Rattus norvegicus: one gene and its partner. The protein of the gene in region 1 purifies or fractionates together with the protein of each later gene. This does not show direct contact. Links are inferred from orthologs where the notes say so. Each region holds a gene or a part of one and is shown on either strand. Other genes may lie near its edges. The genes, in order: Kdr and Cdh5.

Evidence for each region.
Region 2: the proteins of Kdr (region 1) and Cdh5 purify together in Homo sapiens (affinity purification with western blotting; 3 studies listed by BioGRID and IntAct, with this or other methods). This does not show direct contact. The link is inferred for Rattus norvegicus from reciprocal best matches to the Homo sapiens genes KDR and CDH5.

The regions. Positions count from the first base shown.
Region 1 is NC_086032.1:32,565,541-32,581,944, reverse strand, and holds the start of Kdr (vascular endothelial growth factor receptor 2 precursor), read right to left. Parts: upstream 9,883-16,404; 5' UTR 9,630-9,882; coding exon 9,563-9,629; intron 5,957-9,562; coding exon 5,863-5,956; intron 4,028-5,862; coding exon 3,831-4,027; intron 579-3,830; coding exon 448-578; intron 224-447; coding exon 55-223; intron 1-54. UniProt on the Homo sapiens protein: Tyrosine-protein kinase that acts as a cell-surface receptor for VEGFA, VEGFC and VEGFD. Plays an essential role in the regulation of angiogenesis, vascular development, vascular permeability, and embryonic hematopoiesis.
Region 2 is NC_086037.1:824,108-839,971, reverse strand, and holds part of Cdh5 (cadherin-5), read left to right. Parts: intron 1-1,700; coding exon 1,701-1,989; intron 1,990-2,796; coding exon 2,797-2,913; intron 2,914-4,334; coding exon 4,335-4,499; intron 4,500-5,572; coding exon 5,573-5,760; intron 5,761-7,135; coding exon 7,136-7,386; intron 7,387-10,920; coding exon 10,921-11,063; intron 11,064-12,012; coding exon 12,013-12,137; intron 12,138-12,478; coding exon 12,479-12,587; intron 12,588-14,197; coding exon 14,198-14,443; intron 14,444-15,864. UniProt on the Homo sapiens protein: Cadherins are calcium-dependent cell adhesion proteins. They preferentially interact with themselves in a homophilic manner in connecting cells; cadherins may thus contribute to the sorting of heterogeneous cell types.

The DNA of each region.
Region 1 (16,404 bases):
ACTCATGTAGAAAGCTACTCTTTAGTGTACGGTGGAAAGGAAATATTCACTTACCTACAACCAGAACTATGTACATGATAGACTGATACGTTTCATCATTAATCTTTGCCTCACAGAAGACCATGCCGGCATAGCTGATCATGTAACTGGGGATAGTAAAGCCTTTCTCGCTGTCCCAGGAAATTCTGTTTCCATCCGGAACAAATCTCTTTTCTGGATACCTCTGATTAGCAAAAAGAGAGACAACAAATATTTAACCCAGCACTGTCCAAATTTGATGACCAATGAAGGACCCATCTTACTTCTAAGAATGTAAGAATGTGCTGTTTGCCCTCCCTAAGGGACTTTGTAACTCACTGTTGGAATGGTTTTGAAAGTGGGAAGCTCGTCTCCAAAAAAGGGTTACAGCAATGGACACATGCGGTGACTGAAAAAGAGGCAACTCACAGCACAAAGTGACACGTTGAGGTTTGAAATCGACCCTCGGCATGGGATCACCACAGTTTTGTTCTTGTTCTCAGTGATGTACACGATGCCATGCTCGTCACTGACAGAGGCGATGAATGGTGACCTGTGATCTAGAAGAAAAGGGAATTCTCCCAGTGAATTATTAGCAAGAGAATTAGTAGCCTTGGGTCCGTGAACTCTAACTGAATAATGGAATGACTGTCGTTGACAACTTGCATGGACGAAGACAGCCACAGGCTAGTCTGCACATAGATATCCAGCTCTAAAGATGTGGCCAAGGAAGGGCAGAGAAACACAGAGAAGAGGGGGTGAGAGACAGAGACAGAGAGACAGAGAGTCAGAGATGGAGGGACAGAAAGACAAAGAGAAAGAGAGACACAGACAGAGACAGAAAAGAGTAAATGAAAACTCCAACAAGGTAAATTAATGTTTAACTTCTTCCACATGGAGTATTAACAAGTAGAATCTATTTTAATAGCCCATGCTTTACAAGACTTTTTTTATATAAAATAAAAAAACTTCATTTAAATCCATATACTTAAACTCTGAGTTTTATGATGCTAAAAGTTCATGTTTTTCATTAGGGAAATAATGTAAATGACTAACAAGAAATTAGGATTTTTAAACCAAGAGAAAATAACAATCAGATGATTCAACCATTCAAAAGAATGATGTTTATATTATCGTAAGTCTGTGGGGTCTGTAGATAAGAGTCTTTATAAAGTCATGTTTCATAGCCACTACATTTAGTTCAAGATTTAGCCCATATGAATATCCACAACAATGAGTATTAGGAAAAATGCAATTCCAACAATTGAGATGAAAGCCAGAGAGATTTTGTTATCTTTCAGACGCCATTCACACAGTACTAATACGTGGCTGGGGATTTACTTCATCCCCTAGAGACAGAACACATGGTCTGGAGCCACGACTTGAAATGGCAGAGATAACATCTCACCTCCTACCCCCCACACATCTGGTCAAGCCTTTGCAGAGGTGAAGAAAGAGTTAATGAAACCAAAGGGAAGAAGAGTAACTAATTCCTTTCAACAGCAAAAACCTGATTTCCTCCCCAGCTGGAAAGCATAGAAATCCAGCTAGCTTCGTTCCCCACATGCCATCATCATTATCTTGCATGGCCAAGGCCAGCTTCCTGGCTCCCTCCACTGCTAGATGGGTCAGAGGACTGAGGAAGTTAGAGGGGACATTAGAGACCTATCCATGGGGAATACTACATTCAATGCTTTCTTTCCTGTTGTTAAATTTCATGACACAAACTCAGAAAGCTAAGCTGAGGCAGGAGCAGAATTTTATCATTTATCCAACGTCACCAAGTATACCAGCAAACGTGCTAGTGACATGTGCTTGCTGCCCTGCCCACCCTCCACGGACATGTTAATGGATATGACCTGACTTGCTTCATTCAAAGCAAGCCTTGGGAAGCTAAATTAACCACTTGACTTAAGACTAAAGCTATGCTGTAAGCTATTTCAGTAGCACTGAAGGGGAAGTAAACAAAAGAATACCAAACAACCACGCATCCTCCCAAAAATAAAACATTTATTGTAACCCACGAAATGACTTTTCTCATGTCTCCAGGTTTCCTGACTCGGGGAGAAGGAAGTAACAAGATATTGTAGGAGAAGCTCATCTTGAAGCATTTCCAGACAGGCTGGGAGCAGGAAATCCTTGCAATCTTCTGAGAGAGCCACGTCTCCCAAGACTGCCGGATCAAAAGGAGCCAGGCATTCTCCAAGGTCTGAGCCTTGTCTCTCTCAGCTCTGCAGGGTAAGGAGGGGAGGCACAGAACTCTCTCTCATACTCTGCTTACCCCGAGCAAAAAGAATACCTAATCACGGGGAAGCTCAAGAGCATCATGGGATATTTGAATATGGCCTCTGTTCTCCTATACACTGACCCTACTGAAATGGAAGTGTAGATATGCAAGTATGGTGCCCTGGTGAAGCACCTTCCTGTCTGGTAAGAGTGGCTTTCGGGGAAAAAACTCAAAGTCATTTTCACCTGCCTCGGATCCCCTGAGATGTAAGGCTACATACAGATGAATAAATACATATATAGATCCATCCTTCTCTGAAAGAAATATAACATGGTATGCCAGTGTCAAATATAATGTAACTCAGGGCTGGAGAGATGGCCCAGCAGACAGGAGCACTGGTTTCTCCTGCAGAGGACCTGGGTTCAGTGCCCAGCATCCACATGGTGACTCATGGTCATCTGTAACTCCAGGTCCAGGGGATGCAGTGCCCACCTCTGACCTTCATGGATAGCATGCATGCATACATTACCCATCTATACATGCAAACTCTCACGCACAAAAAAAGAATAACAAAGAAATCTCTATGTATAATGCAGCCTATATATTCCTGAGAAGCACATGCTATTACAAGCATCTCGGCAGTGAAGAGAGGTGTTTCCCAAGAAAAGGTGGTGTGCAATTTTTAGAACATAAAGGGGATGATGAGTCCCGTAAATCCAGAATACATGTTGCATTTTAATTTTACTATAGGATGCTAAGTTACAAAATCTCGATTATATCACAAAACTAACCTCTTGATGTAAGACAAAAGTTAAATTCCTTCGACTTGAAACTAAGGGTGTCCTGTGAGCCAATTCTACATCTTTAGCCTTTAAAGGGGAAGTATACAAAGGAAGCTCAAATAGCAAATTATCACCTCAAAATAAAATACTTCTCTGTCCACAAAGACTGTTCATGTCTGCAAGTTTCATCTCCATGGAGTTGATCCCAAGCCCTCTCAGCTCACACAAGCAAAGACAAGACATGCAGTCCAGAGGGGTTCTTTTGAGTGCAGTGTTGTGCTTTGCACATGGGTATGTGAATTTTTTAAAAATAAAGTGGTAATTTGGAAAGGAAAGATCTTATGGGGGAGGGAGAAAAAAAAAGACAGACTCTAGAGTCCTTGGCTATTTCCCTATGCATTCCTACAAAAACCTCCTCCCTGCTACAGATAACCTATCTTACCACATAAACCTCTCTATAATTCACCTCCAATCTTTGAAAACCTCATCTTCAAAGATCCCAGAGTCTCAAAGAGCAGAAGACATTTTATGAGTCTCTATAGCTCTTGGCGGGTCACAGGAGGGAATCACAGAGCTCCGTAGCAAAGGAACTAGGGCTGACCTAGGCAGAGAAGAGAAGTGCAGCTCCAACCCAGACTGCTGGTGAGTCCTTCTCCAAGGAAGCCTGGGAGAGAGGCTTTTCTATTCCTTTTGGGAAAACAGCTTTCCTATCAAGCCTCTTGTTGGACTCAACTCTTCTTGACTCAATTACATTTATGACATCAGAAGCAGAGGTGGGAAGCACATTCTAGCCCACCACTTACCTTGAACATAGACATAAACGATGGAGGAGACATCGGTGTCCCGATAGAAGCACTTGTAGGCTCCAGTATCATTTCCAACCACTCTGGGAACTGTGAGTGTCTTGCAGAAGATACTGTCGCCACACTCAGTCACCAACACCCTTTCCTCAGAGTCACGCGGAGTGTTGGGCCAAAGCCAATCCAGGTCCCTCTGTCCCCTGAAAAAGTATTCCAGGAAGATATTAATGCAACACTCCCTTGCCACGAGGCTATGATTAAGAGAACAGAAGATTTGGTTTTTCACACACATGTAAACTACTCAACAGACACCTTCGAGTTGATAGACACTGATGACAGACGTTCTGCAAGGACATGCCACCAAAGAACACACACTCTGTTACAGAAATCACCCACGTGGTCGTGTGTTTTCTATTAGTTCACTCATTCATTCTTTCAATGAATATTTTAGGCAATATATGATTGCTAAGCATTATTAAGGACAAAAAAATGGATCCTTTTTAAGGGATCCAGGATATCAAGCCCAGCGGCAGAGTAGTTGGCCAGTGTACACGAAAAAGAAAAAATTCAGTGCCCTTCTGGAACTTAACTCTAGACGAGGGAGATAATACAATTAAAAGGTACAGATTGCTGCGTAAATGGCGGTGATTTCACACTGTGAAGGAAAATATAAAAGAGGCAAAGACAAGGGCAGAATGCGACCAAGCTGGCCCTATGCATTCCAACAGTAAATATGAAAGACAGACAGGGACCGGGGCACATCTGGAGCATTGGGAGAACGGCAAGGAAGCCAGAGTCCTCATGTGGGTATAAGCAAGGGGGAGTAAGAAGTTAGCACACAGAGAGAAGAGGCTCACAGGGCCTTGTGAGGGCCACATCAAATAGACATTACTTTTATAGTTTCCATTCTCCACAAAGCAAAAGTTAGGTAGTCAATGAGTGAAGCAACACGACCAACTGAGCCATAGAGCTTAGAACTTGCACGATATCACAGTCCTTTGTTCAGTGCTTGAGGAATGTCTCTGCAGTCTCCAGAGGCGGGGTGAAGCCTTTGCAGGCCTTAAGTCACCTTTGTGTCTGAGAACAGGTAGATGAAAGTCTCTGGAAATGCCACGACTTAATAAAGATAAACGATTCCTGCTATGGCTTTCTGTTTTTGTCCCCTGCCCCCTGCCCCATGACTAGGCATTGGTGACTTTTGTAGACCTTAGACGAGGGGCCAGGTTCTCTCCACATGCAATGATCTACACTAGACCTGAGTTGTTCTGTGGACTGCTTGGTATTTTTCAAATATGAGGCAACTGCGACAAGCTGCCAGGGCTCCTCTTGCCACCAAGCACTCTTCTCAGATGGCACCATTGCCTGGACCCATCACCATCCCCAACAAAACACGCTATTCTGCACACAGGGCCTTCATAAACAGTCACACACCCAGCTACACCTCCCCTAGGTTTCCTTTCTTGCCTCTTGGTGGAAAAGTAAGAATCAAAGGGACTTCTCGATGGCAAGTGGGAAAGAGGCCCTGGGACATCAAGCCAGATTATGAAGGTCCTGGTCTGAACAGGACAAATGGTCAGGAATATTACTGGCTCGAGATTTAATTGCTAATAAAGACAAAATTTCATTTGTAAAAAACAGCTTTAAAAAGGGTCCAGAAGCCATTCTGGGTGACTTGAACATGGCTAGAATTTTAACTCTATTCATAAGGATATCTCTTTTGCTTTACTAACTTATCAATAGTTGTGAATGCCTATTGCGTGTCAGTTTCTGACCTGTCTGCACGTGCATGCATGTGTGTGCCAGGGCATGTTGTATCTGTGTAAAATGGTTGTACATGTTGAAAGTAGCAAAACAGTACAAAAGTCTGAAGAGACTTTTCTCATTGTTTCGTTATTAAATGAGTTCTTAGAAGTCTCATGACTTATAAACAATTGTAACAATACTATTCTACTCCTGCAATAATGGAAATTGTTGTGACCGCAGTAAACATTGAGTCCTTTCACACAGGAAATCTGGATCAAAAAGGAATCCTTACCTGCAAGTAATCTGAAGGGTTGTATTTGCCAAAATTGTAAGTATGTCTTTTTGTGTGCTGAGCTTGGGTGGATGGAGGGAATCGCCAGGCAAACCTAGAAACAAATTAGATAAGAGTTGGATCCAATAGGAAACCCTCCCACAAACAATGCACACTCCAGGTTTTAAAAGGCCTCTTCAGCAATTCATTGTATAAAAGTGGGATTGACTTTGCCCATTCCCAGTAAAAGTTCACAGGCTCTGTCATAACAGGAAGAATGGGCAGATGGTCACAGACCAACACAACAGTTCTGCAATCCACGGCACCAGGGTGGAGTTCCTGTTTTCCTGTGTTGCCAACTTCAAGGTCTTACAAAAGGATATGGGATCCTGAAACCCAGTGAACCCCCATCTGATGATCTCAGGCCCTTGGGAAAGGACCCACTGACATTTCTTGTAAAGCATAGGATGTGCAGATCTGACTAAAATGCTGATTAATGAAAACCCCGGAGAGATCTCTCTACAGCTCATCTCCATACCCCCAAAAGGGACAGGAGCCACTGTGACCCTGTCCCATTGTCTTTTATCATGCTGTGCACCAGACTTCCTTTGGGAACTGAGCTATAAAGGCAAAGGTAGTGGCTCCCAAAGACAGCTCATTTAAATGGAAGAAGAGAAACATCTCCCAAGTTCTCGCTTACATGCATATTAATAAACTCGGAGCAAAACTGAATGAGCCATAGCTGGGGTCCCAACTCATTAACCAAAGCTCTGTGGTCATATCAATACAAAGCTGGAGGCATATGACACTTGTTACCTGGCCGACTGAAATGCATAAAGGCATCGTGAGAGATATGCACCACTGCAGGCCATTAAATAGCGAGACAACTAGTTTTCAGTCAACTAACCTGCCAAGTGCTACCGGCTGCCTAAAAAGCATGAGAAAAACAGAAGTTGCCCACCACGTTAAAGGGCATCAAGATCTTCCACTCTCCACTCAAGACGTGAGCTGCCTACCGTGCTGGCACACACCTGGAAGCCCAGCATTCTGATGAATGAGACAAGAGGACGGCAAGTTCGAGGCTAGCCTGGGCCACACAGTGAGACTCTGTCTCAAAAGAAAAAGAATAACTAATTAATACCAGGCAGGGCTCCAGGCTTTCTAAGCCACCCTGACTAAGAACAGATGACTCCTCAGGCCTCAGCTGGCATTGACAGTGTTGGGCAAATGAGTGAGCGGGAACAAATATGAGGCCACTAATGCAGTATGAGCAAACAGCCAAGGCAAACACCCGGTGCCGTGACACTGTGGCCCTCTGAGAACAAGCAGAGCAGGCCGTTCACTGACTGTAGCGGTTCTCGCACACCTGCACAGATGTGCATAACGGTCTACAGCAATTCCACCCTGAATACACCCAACCTAACCGGATGTACATATGCTGCTGATATAACCGTGGATTTATTCATTAATTAACATTTTTCAAACGCTGGAAATTAAATGGCATTTAATGAATCTCAGAAGTTAGTTGGCATTGTTAATAACTCGTGTGTGGACTGTGAGTCTGAACCTCATGGTGTGTTTATTCCTAGACCAACAAATAGGGGTTTTTAAATGGCATCGAAAGTGACTGTATCACAGGTGCTCTTGGTCCCCCCCACCCCGAGACGGCTACAGAACTGAGCAATTATATTCAATTAACCGGCATAATATTTGTCCATATCAAAGAAGTTACTGTCCCTAACATAGGCATGCAATTAAAATGTTCATAGACAAGCCTTTGAATGATGGAATCTTACTTTGTTTGAGAAGTGGGAGATAAAAACAATTTGTTTGATAAGTAGATTTTAAACATGACTGAGCAGCATTAACCTGAAGACAATCACTGGCTACACTCATGGGGTGAACCCATTATTCAGGCAGATGGGTGAGGAAAATGTGGTAGTAAGCTGCGCCCACTCTACCACCACAGTAAGTGACCTTTATTCTTCAGTGGGGAAGCGAATGCAGAGCCTGAGCGCTCTACCGCTGATCAACACGCTACAGCCACTCAGAGCCGCGCTACTGTCTCTGTCATAACACACAGCCATAGATGCTCTTAGAGGGCAGGCGCATTAGCTCTGCTCATCTGTAAAAGATGCCCCATTCCCGAGACACCAAATACAGCACCATAGTATCCAAGGGATGTGTCTGCAATCAAATCTAGTCAACGAGGTTATCGATAACTGGAGATTTACATCAATGGCTAATGATCCCTCTCCCCCTTATTAAACCTCATTCATTTTCAATGGCAAGTTTGGGTTCTGTTCTTTAGAAAGCTCCTTCTTACTGTAAGAGGTACATATGCTGCTACTCAATAAAAGCCCTTTTATGTTCAAATCCGATAACCAACATTAATTAATTTGTGCACTGTTATCCTTCCCACTCAAAGACCAGAAGGAAAAACAACAGCGGCTCTGTCTCTAGACTCCGATGGCACCAATTATGGTCCAATCCAATTAAGAAAGTCACACACTCCAAAAGGGCAACCTCCGTTTAATTCAGGGAACCAACCAACGGGCTACTGTTAAACTGCTACACTAGGAACACTCCAGGCTTCACAGCAACTCACTTCGCTATGGGACCCAGGGCAAGCACGTGTTCTAGGCTGCCTTTCTCGTCCCAGAAAGCGGGAGAGTGAGGCCTTGTCAGGAACAAATGGGCACCCATGATGGAGTTAGCCTGGTGAACCAAGTCATTATGAGGAAGATTCAATAACTGTAGACAGATGATCCTGGCGCTGTACGTCAGCGCCAGTGCTTTTAAGGCATGCGATTTTCTTCGGATATAAGGAATGTTTCTGCAGAATTGACTTTTTTTTTTTTCTGACTCTCCATTCTCCAATGGATGGAGTCTGGGAAATCTGCAAACTGTGGCTACAAAAAGAAAATGAGAGAGAAATAGAGGAGGAAGAGGATGAGGAGGAGAAGAGGGGAAGGAAAGGAGGGAAGAGAAGGGAAGGGGTTGCACAAAAGCCCAAGAGCGAGTGAGAGCCTAACCTTGAAACACAGGGCATCTTTAAACAGTAAAAATGGCCTATATCTAGGTGCCAAACTAAAGAGTTTCTGAAACTTTCAGAAACTCAGAGTTTACCCCAGGACCAAACACTTTGGAGTAGTAAGTGGAGAGTTACTTTAAGATACCTGGAAAAGCTACCATAGAAGAAGCCGCTTCCTCCTGCCAGCAAAGTGGCATTCTGCACCAAAGAAAGTTGGGTAGGAAAGTGTTGCTCTGTGAAGAGCGCACATAGTGAGCTTACCCGCTGGAGCTAAAGCAGAGCGGAGCGGGAGGCTGGTTCCCTGCTCCACTCAGGGCAGCAAGCAACAGCCTGCGTGCTCGATGCCAGTCAGGCCGCCCGGCTTGCACTGGCTTCCCGGCATTTGACTGCCTGTTCCTGCCAGTGGGAGCATCTCCTGCCCCGGCGCAGGGCGCCTTCCCACTCCCGCCTACCCAGCGCCAGGGGTTGTGGGCTCCGCAGGACACGCTCCAGCCAGAGCCCGGGGGAGATTAGAATCCTGGCTGAGTCATTTCGGAAGAGTCTTTGAACCTCAGTTTCCCGGTTGGTAAGTGAAAGAACACCAAAGGACGGGTCTCTAGAGCTCTCCGAGTTAGGTCCTCTTCTCTGTTATCCCCACTCTCCGCCCGCACCCTGCTCCACCTTACTTCTAAAGAGTGGGCTCCTTACCCACAGAGGCGGCTCGGGTCTCCACGCAGAACCACAGAGCGACAGCTAGCAGCGCCCTGCTCTCCATCCTGCACCTCGCGCTGGGCACAGATGCTTTCTCGGTCCCTGGCCGGCAAAGAAGTCACAGAAGCGGTACGCGCTCCTGCAGTGCAAAACCTGGGAAAGCGCAGGGCACCGGCGCCCTGGCTCCAGCCGCAGCTGCAGCAGTGTCGGCGGACACGGGTCAGCCAGGTTATCCCGGCTGCAGGACACAATCTGGGCTTTCAGTCGTGCGGAGTAGCGTTCCGGGCGATCTAAGGAGACACAGCCTACTCTCTTGGGGTCCTGAGGACTCAGTGCAGAGAGCCAGCGCTGGCTAAACACTAGAGAATGGGGGCGGGGTCATTACCGGGAGGGGTGGGGACTCCCTGCGTCCGGCCACGCCCCTCGCTGGATACCAGGTTTGGGTTTCCCGGTTTCCCACGCCCACTCCCCCACTACCCCGGAACTGTGCCGGGCTGCAAGTCCCATCCGAGAGCAAATCTGGACGCAGCTCGGATTCTGGTGGAAGTAAAATGTAGCCAATAAGGGGCTCTGAGACACTTGCTGCCCCCCAGCAACCCGGGAAGCATCACCAGAAACGCAAGACCGGCTGCGCCCTCATTAGGTGCCTCCAAGTGCAGAACTCTCTTCCCTGCTGCAGCTGAGAGCCCCAAGGGACCAAACCTCCGCTTGCAGGTTGGAGCATGAAGATAGGAACCCTGGACCTAGATGTATCTGGGGCACCAACTTTCAGTGAGTTGGTCAGTACTTGGAAGTTTTGTTTAATGGTGCTCTGGCCAGTGCAGCCATAGTTTTAACTCCCCCGCCCCCCGCCCCTGCCCCCCGCCCCCTTTGAACGCTTTAATTAAAAGATAGGCTCTTATCCAGGTTGCCAATGCCCCTACTGTTTTCTCGTCCATCTGGCAACTTTAGATCTTTTGAAGTTACCTGCCTAGCCCTAGAAGACATTTCGGTTGTGAACTCCTGCCTGGCTTTGTCCAGATAACTGCAGCAGGAGATCCAGGTTGCTGAGGGTGATCAGGGCTCCAGGGCAGCTGCACAGAGAAGAGCGCCTATCCTCCTCCAGTGGCTGCTAGAGTGCTTTCGTCTACCCAGCTCCATGGCCATGGTTCCCTACAGAAACTTTGGCCAGGTTCCTTTCCAAAGCTGACCTTTCAGCCAAGATAGGCTTGGGGGGAGAGAAGGGAGCATTTTCAGGGGTGTCAACTGTGGGAGCAGAAGCGAAAGCGGTCCCTGCGTGAACAGTTTTTTTCAACTGTGTGGCTTTCTTTCCATTCCTTCCACGCCTAGGAAATGACAATAAATACCTTGTAACAACTTTTACTCCTGGCATTTATAATGATAGTTTAAAGGACAGTCTTTCAGCCGGACAAAGGGATAAGATTATTGTCTTTACATCCAACCGAAACTACACCGATGTGCGCCATTAATGAAACACGATGCTTTTCTTTTTTAAAGAAGGGAGATAAACAGTGATTCTCCTTCATCACGAACCTGCCTGAGCCTGAAGTGTGGTGCCAGACGCAGCTGTCGAGCCCAGGAGGCTTTTCAAAATCCAGGTTCACTATAAAAATGTTTCAACACATTTACACATATACACCTATAAGGTGAAATTAAGCTTGAAAAAATATGGGAATGTTTTGTGTGGGCATTTTCCTTTTAGTGGGGACATGCACAGTCTATGCACGTTTCGGTGTGTATACTGGGCTCCTCTTCTCAGGAATGAAAACTCCATTTAAAAGTTGTTTGGCGTCTTCTTTCCCTTTACGGTGTACATGGACAACATTCTGAAGGTTCTGCCTGGTTCTTCTTATCCGCGTTCCACTGTGTAGGTGTACTCTTATCTAAGAGGTATTTATTTGTGAACAGGGTAGACCACTTAAGGAAACTTCTCTTGGGTAGAGTAAAACAAACTAAAACAAACCTCAGAAAAAGAACCAGGGAGGGCTGTCAGATTTGGGTAAAGGGAGGGAAGATGGATTCTGTCTTGGAGAAGGTAGAGTTTTCTCCATCCCAGTGGCCAAACAAGGCTTCTCTTGAAGCCTTATTTACAATGCTGAAAACTTCCCCTTCCACGTTTGACTTAAGAAGACAGTGTCTCCTCTAATACAAACCAGAACCTGCAGGCCCATGGTAATAGCCCCATTTAGAACTCCTAGAGGAAATGGTGCATCTTTGATGGCTATGGTCCCCAAATTCAACAGGATCTCCGTGAAATCTGTCTCCTATACTCCCTCCCACACACACTGAGAAATACTCTGCATTTTGTTGGGTTTATTTTTAAAGACGAGATTTGCTTTGAAAAGGAAGAAGGAAAGGAAAGGGGGAGGGGAAGCAGAGGGAAGGAGACAGGGATGGTTCAGCTTGTGAAGTTGCTGTGCAAGCATAGAGAGCTGAGTTCGAGCTTCCAAACTCGCATTTAAAAAGCCAGATGTGGTGCCAGCCATGTTATCCTGATGCTGGGGAAGGAGAGATATGAGGATCCCTGAGGTCCACCAGTCCAAGACGAGATCAATCAGCTGGTGACCCTCAGGCCAGTGAGAGGCACTGTCTCCCAGCTGAAGCTCTTGAGAAATGATACTCAACTATACCTCTGGCAGATGATCTACCTCCATCGAAAATGGACCTCCACCGAGCATGAGTGGGCGCGCGCTCGTGTACACACACACACACACACACACACACACACACACACACACTCACACACACACTCACAGACACTCACACACACAGACACACACACACTCACACACAAACTCACAGACACACTCACACACACAGACACACACACTCACACACACTCACATACACTCACACACACTCACACACACACTCATACACACACACACACACACACACTCGTTCAGTAGCATTCTCTGTTTGGCACAGTCATAGATGAGCAGTAGGAAGTGTCATGAGCAGTTCCCAGAAAGATCACGCTTTTATAAATTCCAGGAAGTGCTGGCTGCAAAGGTAGATGGGAAAGAAGGAATCTTTGCATCTTACGTGTTTTTTTTTTTTTAAAAAACAACAACAACAACTTCACTCTCACAACTAAAATGTGGCATGCTACCCTTTTCTAGTGGCTGCTGTGGTTTTGGTCACTGTCACCATTAATCACAAGTTTGCATGGCACTTCCTCATGCTTGCTTCGTTTAAGTGTTTCCCCAAGTTTCTGTTTAGCAGGGCACGTGACTACCTCCCTGGCAAGGTGGGCTGTTTATAAACTGAGCACACTCATAACTATCGTACTTTGCAAGCGCTCGAGGGCCATTTCCTTTTCACTATCGAATTTCTTTCTGTTCCCAAGATTATTTTACTCTGTGTACGGTTTACTGCTTTAACTTACAACATTTCTTTTTTTAATGTTTGAGAAAAAGAAGGCTCAGTTACCTGGAAGTCAGACTGGCTTTGCGTGTTCCATTAGAGTTCGAGTCTACTCATAATACTTTACAGTGTGATGAATGTTTGAATGACTTCCCATCCTTCACGTGAAACAGATGAAGTGGTTCTCATCCCTCGCTACCTGTAGAGGAAGAATCTTGGTACTAGGGCAGTGTACTCATCACCAGGCCCTCTCCTATAGTTAATGTGGAACTTAAAAAAAAAGATAAATCGAAATTTTAACATAGAGTTCGAGAGATGCTTCCGCAGTAAGGGTTCTTGCTGCGTTTCTACAGGACCCCAGTTTGGTTCCCGGCATCCACACTGGGTAACTCACGGCCTGTTCCTACAACTCCAGAGAATCTGTTGCCTTGGTTTCTATGGAAACACACACACATGCTCACTGGCACTCACATACACACAAATACGTAAAATAAAATATTTTTTACTTTAATCGAATATATAAAAGATACAGGGAATTTAATCGAAAGTCTGTATTTCACCAGAGAAGGAGGCCAAAAAATGTGAGTACCCAACCTTTGAGCAGACACGCTCTGAAAGCTGAACCTCATCTTTCATCCCTTGAGACAAACAGGAAGGTAGCAAGCACTATTAGCAGTCTTGGGGGCAAAGGAAAAAATTATTCTTGATGTTAAGAGAGTCTTCTCCCTCCCTTCTTAGATCTGTGCAAAAGGAAAAAAAAATAGTTACATCAGTTTTCTAGATCAAGTGCAATTTTCTTTTTTTCCCTGAATCATTTTCTTAAGATTTATTTATTTAATGTGTGTGAGTAGTTTGCATTCAATGTTTGCCTGGTGTTTTCAGAGTCAGATCTCCTCGATGGGGTTACAGATGGTTATTAGCCACCAAGTAGGTGCTGGGAACTGGCTCCAGGGCCTGTGCAGGAAGACGTATTCTTCACAGCTGAGCCATCCCTCCAGCTCCATTCAGCATATTTTGTTTTTTTACTAGACGTGTCAATGAAAGTCAAGAGGCTGCATTTTAAATTAATAACAAAACAAGTTTATTTAGGAGAACTCTTTGTGTGCTGGGTATTTTTCTTGCTTTATCTGTTTACTGCTCAAAATAACTGAATAGAAAATGCATTATTCTCATAGAATGGAGGAAGGAGTTTAGAAGGTGTAGTAGCTTTGCAATATTTCACAGTTCTAAGTTGCTGAATAATAGTTTTTTAAGAACAGATGTTAAGTATCCAAGACCTTTAGGCTCATAGTTTCTAACAGGTGACCCATCTCATGATCTCATCCAAGGATAAGGCCAGGGGCATTGAGTCAATGCCTCAGGCTGCCTCTTACCTCCCTGCAAGCTTTTCTTTGCTGTAAAACACCACAAGCAAGGAAACCTACAGAAAAGAGTTCATTTGAGCTTACCTCTCCAGAGGGTTAAGAATCTATCCTGGTGGACAGGCATGGCGGCCGCAGGAATCTGAGCGCTCACAGTGTCAGACACAGCACAATGCAGAGAGAGAACGGGGTAGTAGATGAGGGTTTATGACGTCAAAGCCTCTAACTTGCTTCCTCCAGCAAGGCTGTACTTCCAACCCCCCCGCACAGAAGCTCCACCAGCTGAGGACGAAGTATTCAAATATCTGAGCCTACGGGGAACATTCTTGTCCACATCACTACATCCCCAGTAAATGATCCATTTTCCTAGAAAGATTGTGGGCCAAAAGGAAGTTAATGGGGGGAGGGGCATCTCTGAGATGCTAATCAAGAAAGAAAGATCTTCCTTTTCTATGTAATCTTCAAATTACCAGTCTTCCTAACAAATCTTTTTTTAAAAAAAGACTTCTAACAGTCTTTTTTTTTTAAATGTTCTGGAACTGGAGAGATGGCTCAGTGGTTAAGAGCACTGTCTGCTCTTCCAGAGGCCCTGAGTTCAATTCCTAGCAACCACATGGTGGCTCACAACCATCTGTAATGGGATCCAACGTCCTCTTCTGGTGTGTCTGAAGACAGCTACAGTGTACTCATATATAATAAATAAATCTAAAAAAATATCCTTAGTCATTTTGGATATCTTTCAGTATGAAATGTGAGGCCCAGTGAGCTCACTCTTTCTTTCTTTCTTTCTTTCTTTCTTTCTTTCTTTCTTTCTTTTTCCTTTTTCTTCCTCCCTTTTCTTCTGCCTTCCTTCCTTCCTTTTACCCTCCTCCTCCATTTTATTTTAGATTTATTATTTTATTTCATATGTATGGATCAATCATTTGCTTGCACATTTGTCTGTGAACCAAGTGTGTGCCTGGTACCCACAGAGGTCGGAAGAGGCTCTCAGATCCCCTGGAACTGAAGATACAGATGGTTGTGAGCCACTCCTGGGTGCCAGAACTTGAACCTAGGTCCTCTGGAAGAACCGCCATTGCTCTTAACTGTTAAGCCATCTCTCCAGCTAGCTTCCTGGAACTCTCCTTTAAAACTCAGCCAAGGAAATAGTTAAATTTAAAGGGGTAGCAATTAGTATAGAGTAAAAATGGTAAAGGGAATAATGAAGAGTGTTAGTAAAATCCATTAGGAATGACTAATTAAATAGAGATATTATAAAGATAGTATGGGGTGGGGCTAGCAAGATGGCTCAACCAATAAAAGCACTTGCTATTAAGCCTGACCACCTGACTCAGACAAGCTGTCCCTGGCTCCCACCTGTGAACGGGGCCATGAGTGTCTGCACACAGATGAAGTAAGTACATGGGAGCGGTAGCTGGTGAGATGGCTGAGCGGTTAGGGGAGTGTGCTGCTCTCCACGGGACCCATGCTCAGTTCTCTGCACCCCAAGGTGGTTCATGCCTCCAGTCCTAGGGGACCTAATGCTCCCTTCTGATCTCTGTGGGCAGCAGGGATGTATGCAATGCACTGTGAACATGTAAGCATAACACTCATACACATAAAATTTAAAAAAGAAAAACCTTAAAATGCTTTCTGAAGAATGAATAGAATAAGTAAGCGTATAAAAGAAAACATCAAGATATTAAAATTATATGTACTAGGTATATACTCTCCCACTGAGGTCAGATAAGACAAGGAGTACCTACCCCTTCTCAGAGGTGAAGGGGAGAGGTAAAAGGCACTGTGGGGGGTACTGGGAGGAGAGGAGGGTCTGCAAGCAGAATATAAAGTAAATAAATAAAAATAAATAAATAGAAAAATAAAATTATGTCCAACATTTAAAAAGTTAAATGTGCTGGCCATACATGTAAAATGTATGTCATATACTCACTTTTAAATTCACATTAAATAATACATAATAGGTATAACCAATCATATACTAAATTTATACTTTATCTTTGGCAATTTGATATAGACTAATTGGTTAGTCACATAACCAGAGAATTGCTTTCCTGTCTCTACACACTCAGCACTTGTGTGACAGGTGCTAATATAGGGTTAGGCAAATTTTTC
Region 2 (15,864 bases), on another chromosome or scaffold:
GACCACCCTCTCTCTTCTCCCACCTTATTAACTAGTTCTAACTGCACACCTGCACACAAGGGTATTGCCTCATCTGATCCAAAGGGTCAGCCTCAGTTCTGAGAGCCAGAACGGGGCCTTGGATATCTATGGGTTCTATAGCGTGCCTGCTACCTGGTAGGCATCCAATTTCTGTTTTATTCAAGTGGAATTCTGTTTGGGTCATTCTAGCCTTCTAGAAAAAGTACTATTTTGAGCTCATAAAGATTTAGACTAAATATCCTCCAGTTGTAAAATATAGGATATTCAGCTCTCAAACTTCGTATTATTGTTTGACTTGTGGGTCTATTATTAGCATTTACTATCATTTACCTCAATGATGTTCAGTGCAAGGTGCCAGGCACACAGTGCTTTTCCTTAAGCTACTAATAGCATGTATAAAAGAAAGAAAGCTCAGAGGTCTAAGAGGTGCAGGACATCCTGAGTTAAACAAAATTCATAGGAGTTCTGCTCTGCAGGTTAGACACTGCAAATCACCAAGAAGAGAGTGTCTTGTGCCTCATTCCAAAAGCAAATTTACTGGGACCAATACTTAACTGTGCTGATAAATGTCTGACATCTGGTTTTGCAGGGAGAGTGCAGATGTGTAGAGCGTGCCAATTCCCACAGTGTAAACACTCAGCCTTTGAACTGCTCTGTGACATCCCTGAAGGCAGAGTTAGTACAAGACGTGCACGGCCCTACCCCATCTGAATTCTGAGCATGTGTAAATCTTTGCTTCTCGAATAGCCATATTAGTCACATTTCTGTTGCTGTGAGAAAATACTTAACAAAAGTTCAGGAAGGAAGAGCTAACTGGGCTCACAGTTTAAAGGTGCAATCCGTCTTGGTGGGGAAGACATTACAGTGCAAGCATCTGTAGTGAGAAATCAGAGAGAGGTGGACGAAGCTGCTTCACTTGCCCAGTACGTAAGGCGACGATGCCCACACTCAGTGTGAACCTTCTCATTCCTGTCAACGCTCTCTAGGAAAATTGCAACAGGCACCATCTCCAGAGGCATGTCTCCTAGACTGGTTCCAAATGCCCAAATCCTGGGTCAACAAACCATCTATGATGATGATTTATTTCATTGTACGTTCAGATAATTTAATTTTTAATATGGCCACATTTGACAGCCTGATCACAAATATTCCCCAACTCTAACCAAGTCTTCAAAGCCATATTGATAGAAGCCAGTTCTAGCACATCACCGGCACGTGTCCCATTTTTGCACGGAACAAGAGAAGCCAAGCTTTCCTGGCATTCATTTCCAAGTGGGAAGCTGTATCCATTAGTGCAAATCAACCTTAGGAATCCAATTGGGTCCATTTTAAAGATGAGATAGTAAAAACCCATGTCTTCCAAGGGAGAAAGACACTATTATTCTCTGGTGGCAAATGCGTGACTAGGCTCCATGTGCCATTCTAGGCATTGGACACAGCTAAAAAAGATGCATCACTACCGTGCTTGCAGTGACCTGGTGAAGACAAGCTCACTGGTGACCAGTTGAAAGTTCTTGTTTAAAGCGTCAGTGTCAGGGTGAGCATCCCTACTCAGCACTACACACACATATGGTCAGCATACATGCATGCATCGTCACATGTGTGCACACACACAAGCATGCACACTCGTGTATGCACCCACTGCCCATTCCCAGCTCATGTTGCCTGTTCTTCCCCAGATCAAGTCCAATGTGAACCGTCAGAATGCTAAGTATGTGCTCCAAGGAGAACAAGCTGGCAAGATCTTCAGGGTCGATGCTGACACAGGGGATGTGCTTGCCTATGAGAGGTTAGACCGGGAAAAAGTCTCTGAGTACTTCCTTACTGCCCTCATTGTGGACAAGAAGACCAACAAAAACCTGGAACAACCTTCCAGCTTCACTGTCAAGGTGCATGATGTAAATGACAACTGGCCTGTGTTTACGCACCAGGTATTCAACGCATCTGTGCCCGAGATGTCAGCTATAGGTATGTGCCTAGTCTTTCCTCTCTCTCCTCCCCTCCTCAACACCAGCCTGAAGACACCTCTCACATCAACCACCTCAATGCTTAAGGCTGGGCTCCAGTAAGCTCAAGGAAGTAATTGTGATGCTGTCTTGCACCTTTACATGATTTTGAAATGTGTCCTTAAAGGCTAACCTCTGATCTAGTCCCAAACTAAAACCTGACCCTAACCATAGATGGGTTTTAATCCTCATAATGTGCTGAGCACTGACTCTCTTTATAGCCTGGGCCCTGATCCTGACCCCAGAGCGTGTAATCACCCTAGATATGGGCTTGGGAGGTACTAACCTATCCTCAACCTGCTTCCAGAAGGTCCAGACAGAGAGTGTGTTTCTCTAGTCTTCTGTCCAGGATCTGCGCTCAAGACCATGGGACCAGACCTCCTTGAGGAAGTCTAGAACTCCAAAGGATGAGAAATAGGATCTCCATCCCTCTCGGGGCTTTGCAATACCCTTCCCAGTCCCACATTCTCATACTTTCAGAAAAGGAAAATCCACCCAGACATCACCTAAGTTACTCTCTCAAACCCAAACACCTTCATTTCTCCTGCAAACATACAAATCACCTGTTCTCTTTGCCTGTTTTCTGACTGATCTGGCTGGGCTCACCCTTGCTGGCACTTTGTCCTCGTGATGGCCCCTCTGGCACAAAGCAACCCTCATTCCCTCAGCTTGGGCAAGTAGGAACAGCAGAACCCCATTTACTATCACCAGGAAACAGGGTGAGGACCACAGTCATGAGCAGAAACACCAGAACTCTCTCTCTCCACAGGGACCTCTGTCATCCGTGTGACAGCAACGGATGCAGATGACCCTACGGTGGCTGGCCACGCCACTGTCTTGTACCAAATGGTGAAAGGAAATGAGTACTTCGCCATCGACAATTCTGGTCTGTATGACTAAACCTTTTGGGAGGGTGCCTATTTAGAGGGATGGGAGAGGGGCATGAATATTGCAGGGGCCAATGTAGAGAGAACTCTAATCTGATGGGTGTTACCAGTCACTGATCCAGAGAAGGAGTGCATAATAAATATAAAGACATATTGGAGTGGGTTAGGGGAGAAGAAAGCAGACAACTGCCCAAAACATGTACTCAAGTCCAGAAAGAAAATCAGGGCCTTTTCACCCAAGCATAGACCAGGACTCAAAAGAACATAGTGGTTGGAAGGTCTTTGTACATGTTCAGAGACATCTGATTTGAGCCTAGAACTGCTGCTCAGCCCTACAGCCCCTTGGAAAAGTTATCTAACACCTAAGAACCTTGCTTCCTTTGTCCAGAAAACAGGAATGCTCATGGTCCCTTGTGCAGTAGCTGTGAAGTTGGAATTAGATTTTGCATAGGCACAGCCATGCCACATAATTTTTTTGTGCCTCGTTAAGAGAAAACTTTAGACCAATTAAATTTTATCGAGTTTAATTTTTGCAAAGAACAGTTCACAAATTGGGACACCCCAGAAGCCAAACAAGTTCAGAGAAACCCCAGGGCTGCCACATAGTTGGGTGATATTTATAGTGCAGGGAAGAAAAAAAAAAACCTGCAGTCTAGAAACAGCTCGGTCGTTTCCAGCTGGGGTGTCTGCTTTATTTGAATAGCTTTGAACAGGTGGCAGCCTATGATTAACTGAAGCCCAGCTGCTGTGATTGGCTGAGCATACTCCTAAGTTAGGGCTTTAGTTTATTTACATGCTACTAGGTTGCAGTTCATCACAGGATTCAAGTCTGCAAGTACAGAAGGCTTCTCAGGCCAAATTTGGTGTTTAACAAATTTAAAAAACTGTAAGAACCGAACCGCGGAAGCAAGAAAGAAGGCCAGTTAGTCTAGCCAGACACACTTGTCTTCCAGAAGATGAGCAAATACACAGAGCAACTGGTACTTCTAAGGGCACCAAGAGATATGTCACTAATCTATCACAGCACTCGTAGCACTAAAAAGGGCAGCCACTTCTGCATATGTCAATACAGACATCATTAATCGAGTACAGCACTCTCAGTTCTAAGACACAGCATAGCCAATCATATTTATGTGTACCAGGGCAGACATCACTAATCTATCTCACTCTGAGTCTGGAATTGGCAGTATGGTCTTTCTCAACATTACATTCTCTTTGGCTAGGAACAATACTGAACCATACATTTGGCCAACTTTTAGCCATACAGGGCAAGGTATGGAGGCAGTGGACTATAGTTCTAGGGATCTCAATCTCAGATATATAGTGGAGTCACCGGTGTATTTCTGAAAGGATCTTGGCATTCAGATTTTCTCAAGGCTCCTCAGGTAACACAATATCTGTTGGGTCACTTTCTTTTCAGGACTCATTTTCACAAAGGACAAAAACTTGGACAGAGAGACACGGGCTGAATACAAGATCGTGGTGGAAGCACAAGATGCCCAGGGTCTGCGGGGAGAGTCAGGCACAGCCACTGTGCTGATCAGATTGGAAGACATCAATGACAACTTCCCCATCTTTACTCAGTGTAAGCCCCTCTCATAGGCCCTTAAGTAGACAGGGGCTGAGACGATCCAGATTCAGTGATTTGGGAGCTCTCAGACAGTGCCCCAAATCTCTCTACTTCTTGCCATATCCCAGGGCACTTCTGAAGCCAGAATATAGAGACCCTGGTGCATCCTAATGCCTTGCTCTCCAAGTCACCCAACTGTCCACTGCTGAGTCCTTCATAGACCAGATTTAAAAAAAAATCACAGCCTTGCTGATAGCACTGCAATGCTTCAAGTCCCATTGTGAGACAAAAGCAATTTCGCCCAGATCCTCTGAGACTGAGGGCCCAGCTATAAAATCCCAGAGAATAGGGTACAACCAAAGCCTGCTGTAAACATGCCTACAAATTGATTTTCCCTTTAGAAACTGTGTGTCAAGAGCTTTTCCTGTGCTCCGAGTGAGAGAGGCAGGAAAAGTAAGTTGGTATGTTCATGGAACCCACTAGCTATGTGGAAATTCAGGCCTCAGCTGACCCCCAAATTATCTAGTTCTAAAGTAGCTCTATTACTTCCTGAAGGCAAGATTTGTCTCTCTTGTCTATTGATGTTCCAATGTACAGAATGAGCTAACTCCCTGCTAGCTTGACAGATGGGCAAAAGGCAAGGCAGGCCTCCTTATCTTCGGACCCAGAATCACACAATCCTAAGTTTCTTGCCTGTTTTCTGTAGCAAAATATGGTTTGATACCCAGATAGGTGGCAGCAGATGCCTGTGACCCTAGCATTGAAGAGACAGAGACAGGAGATTTGCAAGTTCAAACCCACCTTGGGCTACAGAGCAAGCCTCAATCTCAAAATTCCAAAGGCTAGGGGTATAGTTCAGTGATAGAGTGCTTGCCTAGCCTGGGTAAGACCCTTGGTAAAATTTCTATTGTTTGTGTGTGCATACGTGCATGCATGTGTATGATAATATGAAGGGACAATGTGTGCATGTGGTGTGTGTGTGTGTGTGTGTGTGTGTGTGTGTGTGTGTGTGTGTGTGATAATATGAAGAGACAATTGTCTTATCTATCTCATTAACTCTTTGCGGTATCCTATGCTCATCTCATCAGCCACATACACATTTTCGGTGCCTGAAGATATCCGTGTGGGCAAGCCCTTGGGCTCTCTCTCTGTTGAGGACCCAGATGAGCCTCAGAACCGGATGACCAAATATAGCATCATGCAGGGCGAGTACAGGGACACCTTCACCATTGAGACAGACCCCGACCGTAATGAGGGTATCATCAAACCCACAAAGGTACGTTGACCTGCAGAACTGAATCCATTCATGGGCTGTGGACTTTGCAGTATCCAAAGGACATGCTCAGGGATCACTTCTGAGCCACAGGCCATTGAAGGAGTATGCTCTTTTCAGCTCAGAGTTGGCCAGGAGTTCCTGGAGACTATAGCCCACAGTCTCAGCCTGAGTTATTCCAGAGATACAGCAGAGGCAATACTTTGGGTGTGAAATGTTTATCTGGGTAGTATTCCCTAGAAGCCTCAGGCGCAAGGATAGGTGGCAATCACTGATAAACAGGTACAAGTGGAGCCCAGAGTATGTCTCAGAGTTGCAGCAGGAAGATCGGGCTCTGGGCTAAGCAGCCACAAACCCTGCAGTGCTGACAGACAACACTTGTTCTAGTCTCACTTCTCATGTTGTGATAAAATAACCTTGACCAAAAGTAACTTTGGAGAAGAAAGATTGTTTTTGATTTACAATTCCAAGTTGAGTCCATTGTTAAGGAAAAGTCACAGTGGCAGAAACTTGAGACAACTGGTCACATCACATCCACAGCCAAAATCAGAAGGAAATGAATGCACTCAGCTAGTTTTCTCCTCTCATACAGTTCAGAACCAGGCCTAGGGAATGGTGCTGCCCACAATGGACTGGGTCCATTAACAATCAAGATAATCCCCCACAGACAAACCCATACGTAACCTGATCTAGACAGTTCCTCAGTTGAGGTTCCCTTCTCAGGTGATTTCAGATTATACAGCAAGTTGACATTTAAAAACTCACCAGCACTGTGCCCCCAACATTAACTCCCTGTGTCCCAATAGTAGAAATCTATCAGCATATGTAAAGAATGTATGACTAAGGGCACAAGTAGCCATGAACAGTGGCTTCTGTGACAGCAAGCGGTCTGACTTACTGAATCTAGAAGAGTAGGGAGAGGAAGGAGCCTTATGCTTCCAGAATTTTAAAGTAGAGGACTGAGAATGCACAGAAAGCCACCAGAGTCCACAAAGCTCTCAGACAATAGGGAAGATAGGCATACAAACAACAACAAAAAATGTAACTGGTGTATTCAAGGCTGCACAATAATGCCAGACAAGAAGGTGTTGCCCCTTGCTGAGAAGGTCTCTTACTAACTAACTGCTCAACAGCAAATTACTACTCATTCCTCAGGATGAACAGGAAGAAATTTGCTAGGCAGACAAACACAGGAGAAGTCTCTTGAGCAAAACCAGGAAAGTTACTCCCTTTGAACAGAACCACTAGGGTATTGCCCCCTTGAGAGAAGGACTGGGATTGGGCATGTCCTTGATTCATAGAACAGGCTCAGGTACAGAGGTGGTACCAGGCAAACGAAATGGGCTAAAACCAGTCACTATACTTCCTGCCCATGCAGCCCCTGGACTATGAACTCATCCAGCAGTACACGTTCCACATCGAGGCCACAGACCCCACTATCAGACTCGGATACCTGAGCAGCACTGCGGGCAAAAACAAAGCCAAGATCATCATCAATGTCCTAGATGTGGATGAGCCCCCTGTCTTCCAGCGACGCTTCTACCACTTCCACCTGCCCGAAAACAAGAAGAAACCACTGATTGGCACTGTGGTGGCCAAAGACCCCGACAAGGCTCAACGCAGCATAGGGTAAAGAAGTGTGGGCATGAAGTGATGATGCCATGGTGATCCTAGCATGGTCATTCTTATGCCTAATGGTCTCAGACTAGGGCTCAGAGAAGGACATGGTCTTGCCAAAACTCCATGGAAAGATGCTGAGGCTAAACCTTGGCTCTTTCTACTAACACTCTTCTCCCACCAGCTCCTGTCTTGTCTCTCTTGTCTGGTCCAGGCCATCCTCTGTTCTTTAAAGGACTTTGGACCTTGACTTACATAGTTCCTGTCTAATGAGGCCATCAAAAGGAATGGCTTACCTGAAGCCCCATCACCAAAACTAGTTTAGAGAGATTTCTCCCAAGACACAAAGCCAGAGTGTTGCTTTCACTTGGTGAAACTATACACTTCTATAAAGAGATCTATGGTAGTTCCTGCTCCCACCAGATTCTCAGGTGGGCTGAGTATCCTTTCCTTCCCTTCATGGCCACACAAATGTACCAATGCACGGATGCTGCGTTTGTTGTTACTGTTTGTGTTTTCGCTGCTGTTTTCCTTGGATCATGTTCCGCACAGTCCATCAATACTTGTTCCTAGTTCGTTTCCCATTACTACAACTTCATAGCATGGGTTGGATAATTTATGAGCCACAGAGCTCTATTTATCTTAAGGGTCTAAAGGCTTGGAAATCCAAGGGCATGGTGCCAGCACCTGATTGCCATCTAATGAGGTTTTACTTGCTGTAACATGGTGAGACCTAATAGCTTGCCAGTGTAGGTCTTTCTTCACCTTCTTATAAAGCCACTAATCCACCGTGGGGACCCCTCATGACCCAATCCTAATCCTAATGGTAATTACCTCCCAAGAGCTTAATCTCCAAATACCACAAATACATGCATCTGTGGATAGAGTTTCTAATACGTGGACTTTGGAGGGTGTGGAATGAGACATTCAGCCCCATGTCCTTGTTCCTCTGACTTAACTAAATTTCCCTCCTCTACCCTCTGGGACAAAGGGAATACATAGATCTGCTCAGACTTCCTAATATTTGGTAGTAAGAATGAATTCAATCCAATCCAATTTTATCCCACACATGAAGCCAGCTGTGCCAGGCCTGTTGACGTCATTATTTCATCACTGGCGTTATATATTTAAGTTCTTACCCATCCTTGACCCTACCTCTGAATTCCCCACTCTGCCTGCTCCTCTGTGACACTCTGCTTCAATGCAACAGCTTTCTGCTGACTCGAACCCTTCTCTCTCTGCATTTTTATCTAATCCGAAACGACCATTCTCACACTCGAGTATATTTTTTTCTCCTTTTTTTTAAAGATAGGGTCTATGTAGCCTCGACTGGCCTTGAACTGCTGTAATCCTATCACTTCCTCTTTAGTACCAAAATTACAGCATACATTCATTCCACCATACTTGGCTTCATAAAAGTAGTTTTCATATAGTTTTAAAATATATTTATATCCTAATGAGGTATTTTTTATTTTATTCCTCTTTTCTGTCTTTATTCTGTGTGTAAGAGGTGGTATGTGCCACAGTACAAATGTAGAGGTCAGAAGTAACCCATGGGAGTCAGTTTTCTCCTTGGACCATGTGAGACCATGGAATAGAACTCGGGTTATCAGGCTTGGCCACAGATACCTTTGCCCACTGAGCCGTTTTGACAACCCAAGAATTAATTTTATATATTGATTTTGGAAAATCTTTATTTACAATACAAACACTGGTCAAGAGCCTCCCAAGCACCCTACCTTTCAGACCACACCCCCAGGCTTCTGCTACCTTCTCCCCCCACCCCCATTTTCAGACAGGGTCTCAGTAAGTGGACCAATCCAGCCATGAACTCACACGATGGCCCAGACAGATCTTGAGGTTCTGCCTCAGCTTCCTGGAATTTCAGGCCTGCATCACCAGGCCTGGCAGTATTAGGTCTTCTTGTTGAGAACAAAGCAAGCCTTTCCAGTTTGGGTCCACCTCACGCATGTGGGGACCCAATCTCACTGTCATCTATTCCAAGTGATTTATAATTATAACTTTGGCTGTTTCTTTGGTTGGGGACTTTATTGACTTGGGTTTGCTTGGTTTGGTTTTCTTGTACTAGTGCTGTGGGGATTGAGGGTGGTCTAATATGTTCTGTGACATAATACAGTTGTATTTCACCCATTTTCTTTTTACCGAAATATCAATACTTCTGTATTTTAATTTTTCTGTCCAGTTAACTAAGATCTACCACTATTTTACCTTCATTTATGTCCTATAACTTCTTTGTCCAGTGCAAGGGCTAAAAGCCAGGGTCTGTGCACACAGAGCCAGTGCTCCACAGCTGAGTGCAGGACCTGCAATTCTGCACCTCTGTGAAACCATCTAGTTTGTTCTCATGCTTTTGGTCCCCAGTGCCACGCCATGTGACGTTAAGCTTGTTGTTTCTGTTTGATAAATTCTCCGACTTTTACTTCTGACTTTTCTAGATTGCATGGCTTTAAGCTGTCTCTTGAAAACAGCACTCAGTTGGGCTGGCTTTTTAATCTCAACAGAGTTTGTGTTCGGCCTGCTTGCTGTTTTCATCCTCAGTACTGGGCTTGATCTCACTTGTCTTGTTTTATATGTCCTATTTCTCAGATGGGACAAGTTTCCTCTTGTGCCTCATCTTTCTATAACCCTCCTTTTTTTTCTCATAGACATTTGACCGCAGATTTACTTCTGTCTACAAAATCTTAAATGTTTTCTAATGAAAAGCATCACTCATACATGCTTCAACAACTTCATTTCAGTTCCTCCCAAACCAGGTTTCTACTTTTGATTAGGACAACTTTTAAAGCTTCAAAACAATTTCTTCTGTGCATAATCAGAACCTATCTTTGTGAATGATGTACTTGTACAATCTCCAGGTCATAGACTTTTCTTCAAAAGTTCCACCAGTGTGTTCTAGCATTCACCTTTGTTGGAACATCTGGAGTGGGTCTAATTTCCCTTTCCTCTTAGGGAATCTACTTTTCGTTCGTGAGAGTCTGAACCCTTCAGTTTTCTCACATCACTGGGACATTCAAAGGACTAACAGAATATGCCTAATTATTGCTATTTTTTATAGTTATGTCAAAATATTGCTTAATCTGTAGACATAGGCCTTCTTCCTATCAAAAAAGCATATTATATTTTGTGTTACTTTTTTTGCCATGGCTTTTCAGTAGTAGCAACAACCTTCTCTCTCTCTCTCTCTCTCTCTCTCTCTCTCTCTCTCTCTCTCTCTGTCTCTCTCTCTCTGTCTCACACACACACACACACATTCCAACTGCAGTGTAAGTGATTTTAAAGTTACTTAGTTTGAAATGCAGCTGGGTGGAGTCTTGGGTACCCCATCCAATCATAAGATAACACATCCTTCAGGTCAAGCATCCTCCTGCTTTGGGAACATGTACAGGCTACTCACTCGGGGTGGTAAGTGTAGGGAACACTAGAAAGGGGTATGGGGAAGGATACAGGGGTCAAATTCTCTGTCATGGTGAGGACTTTGGAAACAGCAAGGGACAAGGAAAGCCATGAACCCATTTCTCCTGACAGATACTCCATCCGCAAGACCAGTGACAGAGGCCAATACTTCCGAATAACCAAACAAGGGAACATCTATAATGAGAAAGAACTGGACAGAGAAACCCACGCCTGGTATAACCTGACTGTGGAGGCCAACGAATTGGATTCTAGGGGTGAGTGGCCCCACTTTCCAAGCTACCTGGGCCCTTTCTTTTCCTTCATTCTTTCAAAACCGACATGACTCTTCATTCTGGACCTCTAAATGTATTCTAAGGGCCCCAGGGAAACATTCTCTGATTGGGGTAGTTTGACCTTCCATTTCTAAATGTGCTCCTTGGACCACCATCATATAGAGCACCCAAAACCTTGTCGGAAGGACAGAATAATAAGAGTACCACCTTAGACTGAATGCATCATAGTTTAAGAAGCTCTGTGATAAAACACACTGTTCAAGTGTCTCTGTGATGAGACTCAGCAAAGGCACATGCTACACACAGACTTTCTGAGGGTTTGGTCCAGAGAACACAGAGAGCCTCGAAGGCTGTGCATGGAACAAATGCTGCACGATTCTTAGTGTCAAACACATTTGGCAAACACTCCTTTGTGCACAAAAAAAGTTATGTGTGCACCAGTGAAAGAGCCAAGAAGCAGCTCTCAAAGGTAGAGATTATAACGTTCTGCAACAATTGGTATGAATTCTGACAGAAGTAAGGGGAGTTGTAACAATCACCCAGCAAACTAGTGTTCGCTTTCCCACAGCAACCAGGTCCCATGGGGGTTCCTGAGAGGGGACAACATTACTTTTAAAAGTGCATGATTATGTGTCCGATTGCATTGTTTTAATCAATTGTATCTGTTTGCTTGATTTACTTACTAACTCTTTTACAACCTCTTCAGATGTGCTGAGGATGGTTAGCTCTTGAATTCTTATCAGCAAGTTTGCTTACATATGAAGGTCTACCCCCCACATTGTCCTCCTCCCATTCTAATGTCATCTTTGGCCTTTCCTCCTTAAAAAAAAAATGGCCTCCACCACACTTTGCCCCAGGACTGTCCATCAAAACATCTTCAAAGGCCAGCATCAGCTGGGCCCAGTATAATGACAAGCTGTCTCCCCTGCAGGTAACCCTGTAGGTAAAGAATCCATTGTACAGATTTACATTGAAGTTTTGGATGAGAATGACAACGCCCCAGAATTTGCCCAGCCCTACGAACCTAAAGTATGTGAGAATGCTGCCCAGGGCAAGGTGAGTTGGCCTCGAGTGGAGGAGATGGGGGACCAAGAAGTAGTGTGTTTTCAGGTAGATGACTTGGGAGAAAACCTTCCTGCCCACCTAGAGTTACCTAAGTATAAAGTAACTACATAACAACCCTGAATAAAGTGCTATTCCCATTTTTCAGGCGGAGAAATGGAGGCTCTAGGAGTGTCTGAAGAATAGGTCAGGGATATGTGAGTGCAGGATGGTAGTAAGACAAAGTGTCTTGGGGGAGACCATAGTGCCGCAGGTGACAGGCAGCCACAGCCTTGTCTAAACCCATCCTTGAACCCGGAAACCACACTGATCCTTCCCCATCTCTCACATTCCAGCTGGTAGTACAGATCTCTGCAACAGACAAGGACGTGGTGCCAGTAAACACAAAGTTCAAGTTTGCCCTGAAGAACGAGGACAGCAACTTCACCCTCATCAACAACCACGGTAAGCCGCAGAGCAGGCGGTCGGCTCTTAGAAGGTCAGAGGTGTCGGTTAAAAGTCTTGAAGCACTAAGATCAAGTACTAGTCCAACATGGGGTGACAGGTCTCCAGAGGGTCTTTTAAGTTATGGAGTGTTCTGTACAACTTTCACCACGTAGATTGCACAGTTGGCCTACGTTGTAGTTGAAGCCTCCTGGCCAGGCTTCATGGTCCATAGGACATGATCCAGAGGGTCACCATTACCCTAAAGAGGCTTCATTGAAGAGGAACACAGAATGGATACAGGGATGCAGGCAGCCAGCTCAGCCAAACTATCTAAAGGCTCCTTCTAATACTGGGATCATTCCAAAGATCTCAAACTTGGAAATAGGAAGTCATAAACCCCAGAAATGTGATGAGCTTTGTTTGCAGTTCAGCTAGAACGGGTATCAACCATAAAGTGTTCCCTGAACAGGATCCGGTCCACCAATCACATCATATTACAGCATATCTATTCAGCCAGTCAGAAACCAGAGAGTCTTGTGAGGTCAGTAGTGGCCAGTCAGAGGCCTGGTGAAGATCTACTTCGTAGAGTGATGACCCTAAGCTGATTTCCATCTGAAAGTGGCCAGGCTTCCACAGCCTCTAAGAAAAATGTACACCCTCAGGTATGACTATAGCAACTGTTCATCCGAACATGGGAGGAAATCTCCCTGTCCCTTACTGATGACACAATGAGGGTCCCATACTGAAACAGCCCATTGTCATCTTTGGGGAAAACTAGGGAAGAGGGTCCCTGAGAGTGAGGGGCATATATAGGCAATCAGCCACAGATGCATCAAGCAAGATGAGCATCATGGCCCACAGAATGAGGAAGGCAGCCATGCTGTGCTGACAGTTAATGACTCAACTCAATACTCAGAAAATGTCATTGCAAAAATACCCATCATCCCATTCCCTTTGTGTACCTTGAACGAACTAAGAACTGGGATCCATTAGGGAAAATTTAGGAGCTACCCCCAAACTCATATCCCATGTGCAACAGGAAGCAGGTCTGTTGGTCTCAGAGTCGTTTGCATACAAATGTTCTATATATTGGAGTCTCTCATTTCTCCCAATTTGCTTTTGGCTGTGTGGCTAAGTAAGTCCTCTGACCATTAGTGTTACAACCTCCCAGGAACCTACAAAAAAAAAAAAAAAAAAAGTAGACCATCTCTCCTTTGCCCATAGCCACTGAGTACTGAATAGCAGTGACAGCAGTGTGTGTGGGGGTGTATCTGTGTGTGTGTGTGTGTGTGTGTGTGTGTGTGTGTGTGTGTGTGTAAAACAATACAGCAATGAGCTGAGCAAAAGCCCCTGTTGGGATGGGTTTGGAAAAAGTGATGTGTACCCACTGACCACAGAAACAGAAAATTGGGGTCTTACACGCTGACTTGGCCACCCTTAGGCTGGGTCAAAGCAGTCACCCAAGTACATCCTCTGCAAAGGGACAAGCCTGTGCTTAAAGGGTTCAAACATGAGGCCGGGAAACAAAGAGGGCAATGAAATCACGCAGAAAGAGGCAGCTTCCCCCCATGGGACAAGAGGGCAGGTGCTCCTGGCAGAGCCTCACTCTGTGGTCTTGATGCTTGCAGACAATACCGCCAACATCACAGTCAAGTATGGACAGTTTAATCGGGAGCATACCAAGTTCCACTACCTGCCTGTGCTCATCTCCGACAATGGGATGCCCAGCCTGACTGGAACCGGCACGCTAACAGTGGCTGTGTGCAAATGCAACGAACAGGGCGAGTTCACCTTCTGTGAGGAGATGGCCGCACAGGCGGGTGTCAGCATCCAGGCACTGGTAGCCATCTTTCTGTGCATCCTCACCATCACAGGTCAGTGTCTCATAGACAGGGAGGAGACATTAAGAGGGCTTCAGAGAAGAGGCAGGGTTCTGGCCCTATCCTGCACTACTCTGGAGTTCACAGTTCTTGTATGTATAGGATACAGAGATATAAATAGGTAACCCCACTAACCTGGTGCTATATGGAATAAGGGAAAGGAGGATGAGCCATAAAATCATTCTTCAAGCTAACTCCATTTCAAATTAACCTGGTGTATTGCAGTGACAGGGTCACTAGCATGTGTCAAGCACCAGGTTCAATATCACCTTCAATTTCAAAACAAAAAAGAAAATGAATCTACACTTGGCATTCCTTCATTTGCTAAATATATTTTGAGTGCATACTATATTCTGGGTGTTGTTTGGGGCACCGATGTACATTAAAATGATTATTTACTGTATTACTCATCTATTTTGAGACAAGATCTCACTGTACAGCCCCTGACTGGCCTGGAACTCACTCTGTAGAGCATGTGGACCTCCAATTCACTTGCTTTTGCCCTCAGAGTGCTGGGATTAAAGGTGTGTGCCACCATTTCTAGCTTTAATTGTTTCTGAAATTCCTTTATAATGGAAAGTTTTGAGACTTCTAGCCTGGAATGTCGCTGGAGGGTTTTTTTTTTTTTTTGCTTTTTTAGAATTCCTCCAGAGTCCATTTTTGCTTTGGTTTGCATTTTTTTGTTTTGTTTTGTTTTGCTTTTGCTTTTGCTTTTGTTTCATTTTGAGCCTTGTCACTTTGGGGCACTTTAGGCTTCACCTAGGTCTGACATTGCCTAAGAAACAGATCTCAGACAAGGCTTTGTGAAGAGCAAGCTGCCAGGAAAGGCATTTTACACTAGCACCCAGCAGAGTCTGACTTCTCCCATTGAGAGCGGATGTTCCTTCTTGAAAGTACTTTCTCTATGCTGTACCAGCCCTGAGGCGCACACAGAGAAGCGAGGATGTCATGAGGTACAGGCAGCCTTTGCTCCAGGCCTCTGAACTTCCCACTGTGTGTGTTCATTTCCTGGACCTCTGTGCCAGAGACATTAGAGACTGACTTCTCTTTCATGGATGATGGTGGTGGTGGTGGTGGTGGTGGTGGTGGTGGTGGTGGTGGTGGTGGTGATGATGATAATGATGATGGTGATGATGATGATGATGGTGGTGATGATGATGATGAAAGTATTGATGCCACCCACATCACAGAATCGCAAAATACCAGTGTCACGGGGGCATTCAATGTATCCACACTGCAGACAGGAAAACTGGGGCTCGGGGAGGCCAGGGTCACTCTTTGTATTTAACAAATTAGTAACTAACTCAAGGCTAGAAAACTTGATGGCTTGGGTCTCATTGAGGGAGCTCTCCACAGCTCAAGGATCAGGGGACCTTCCCACACCCATTCCCACCCAGTCTTCAGTAGGTATATGC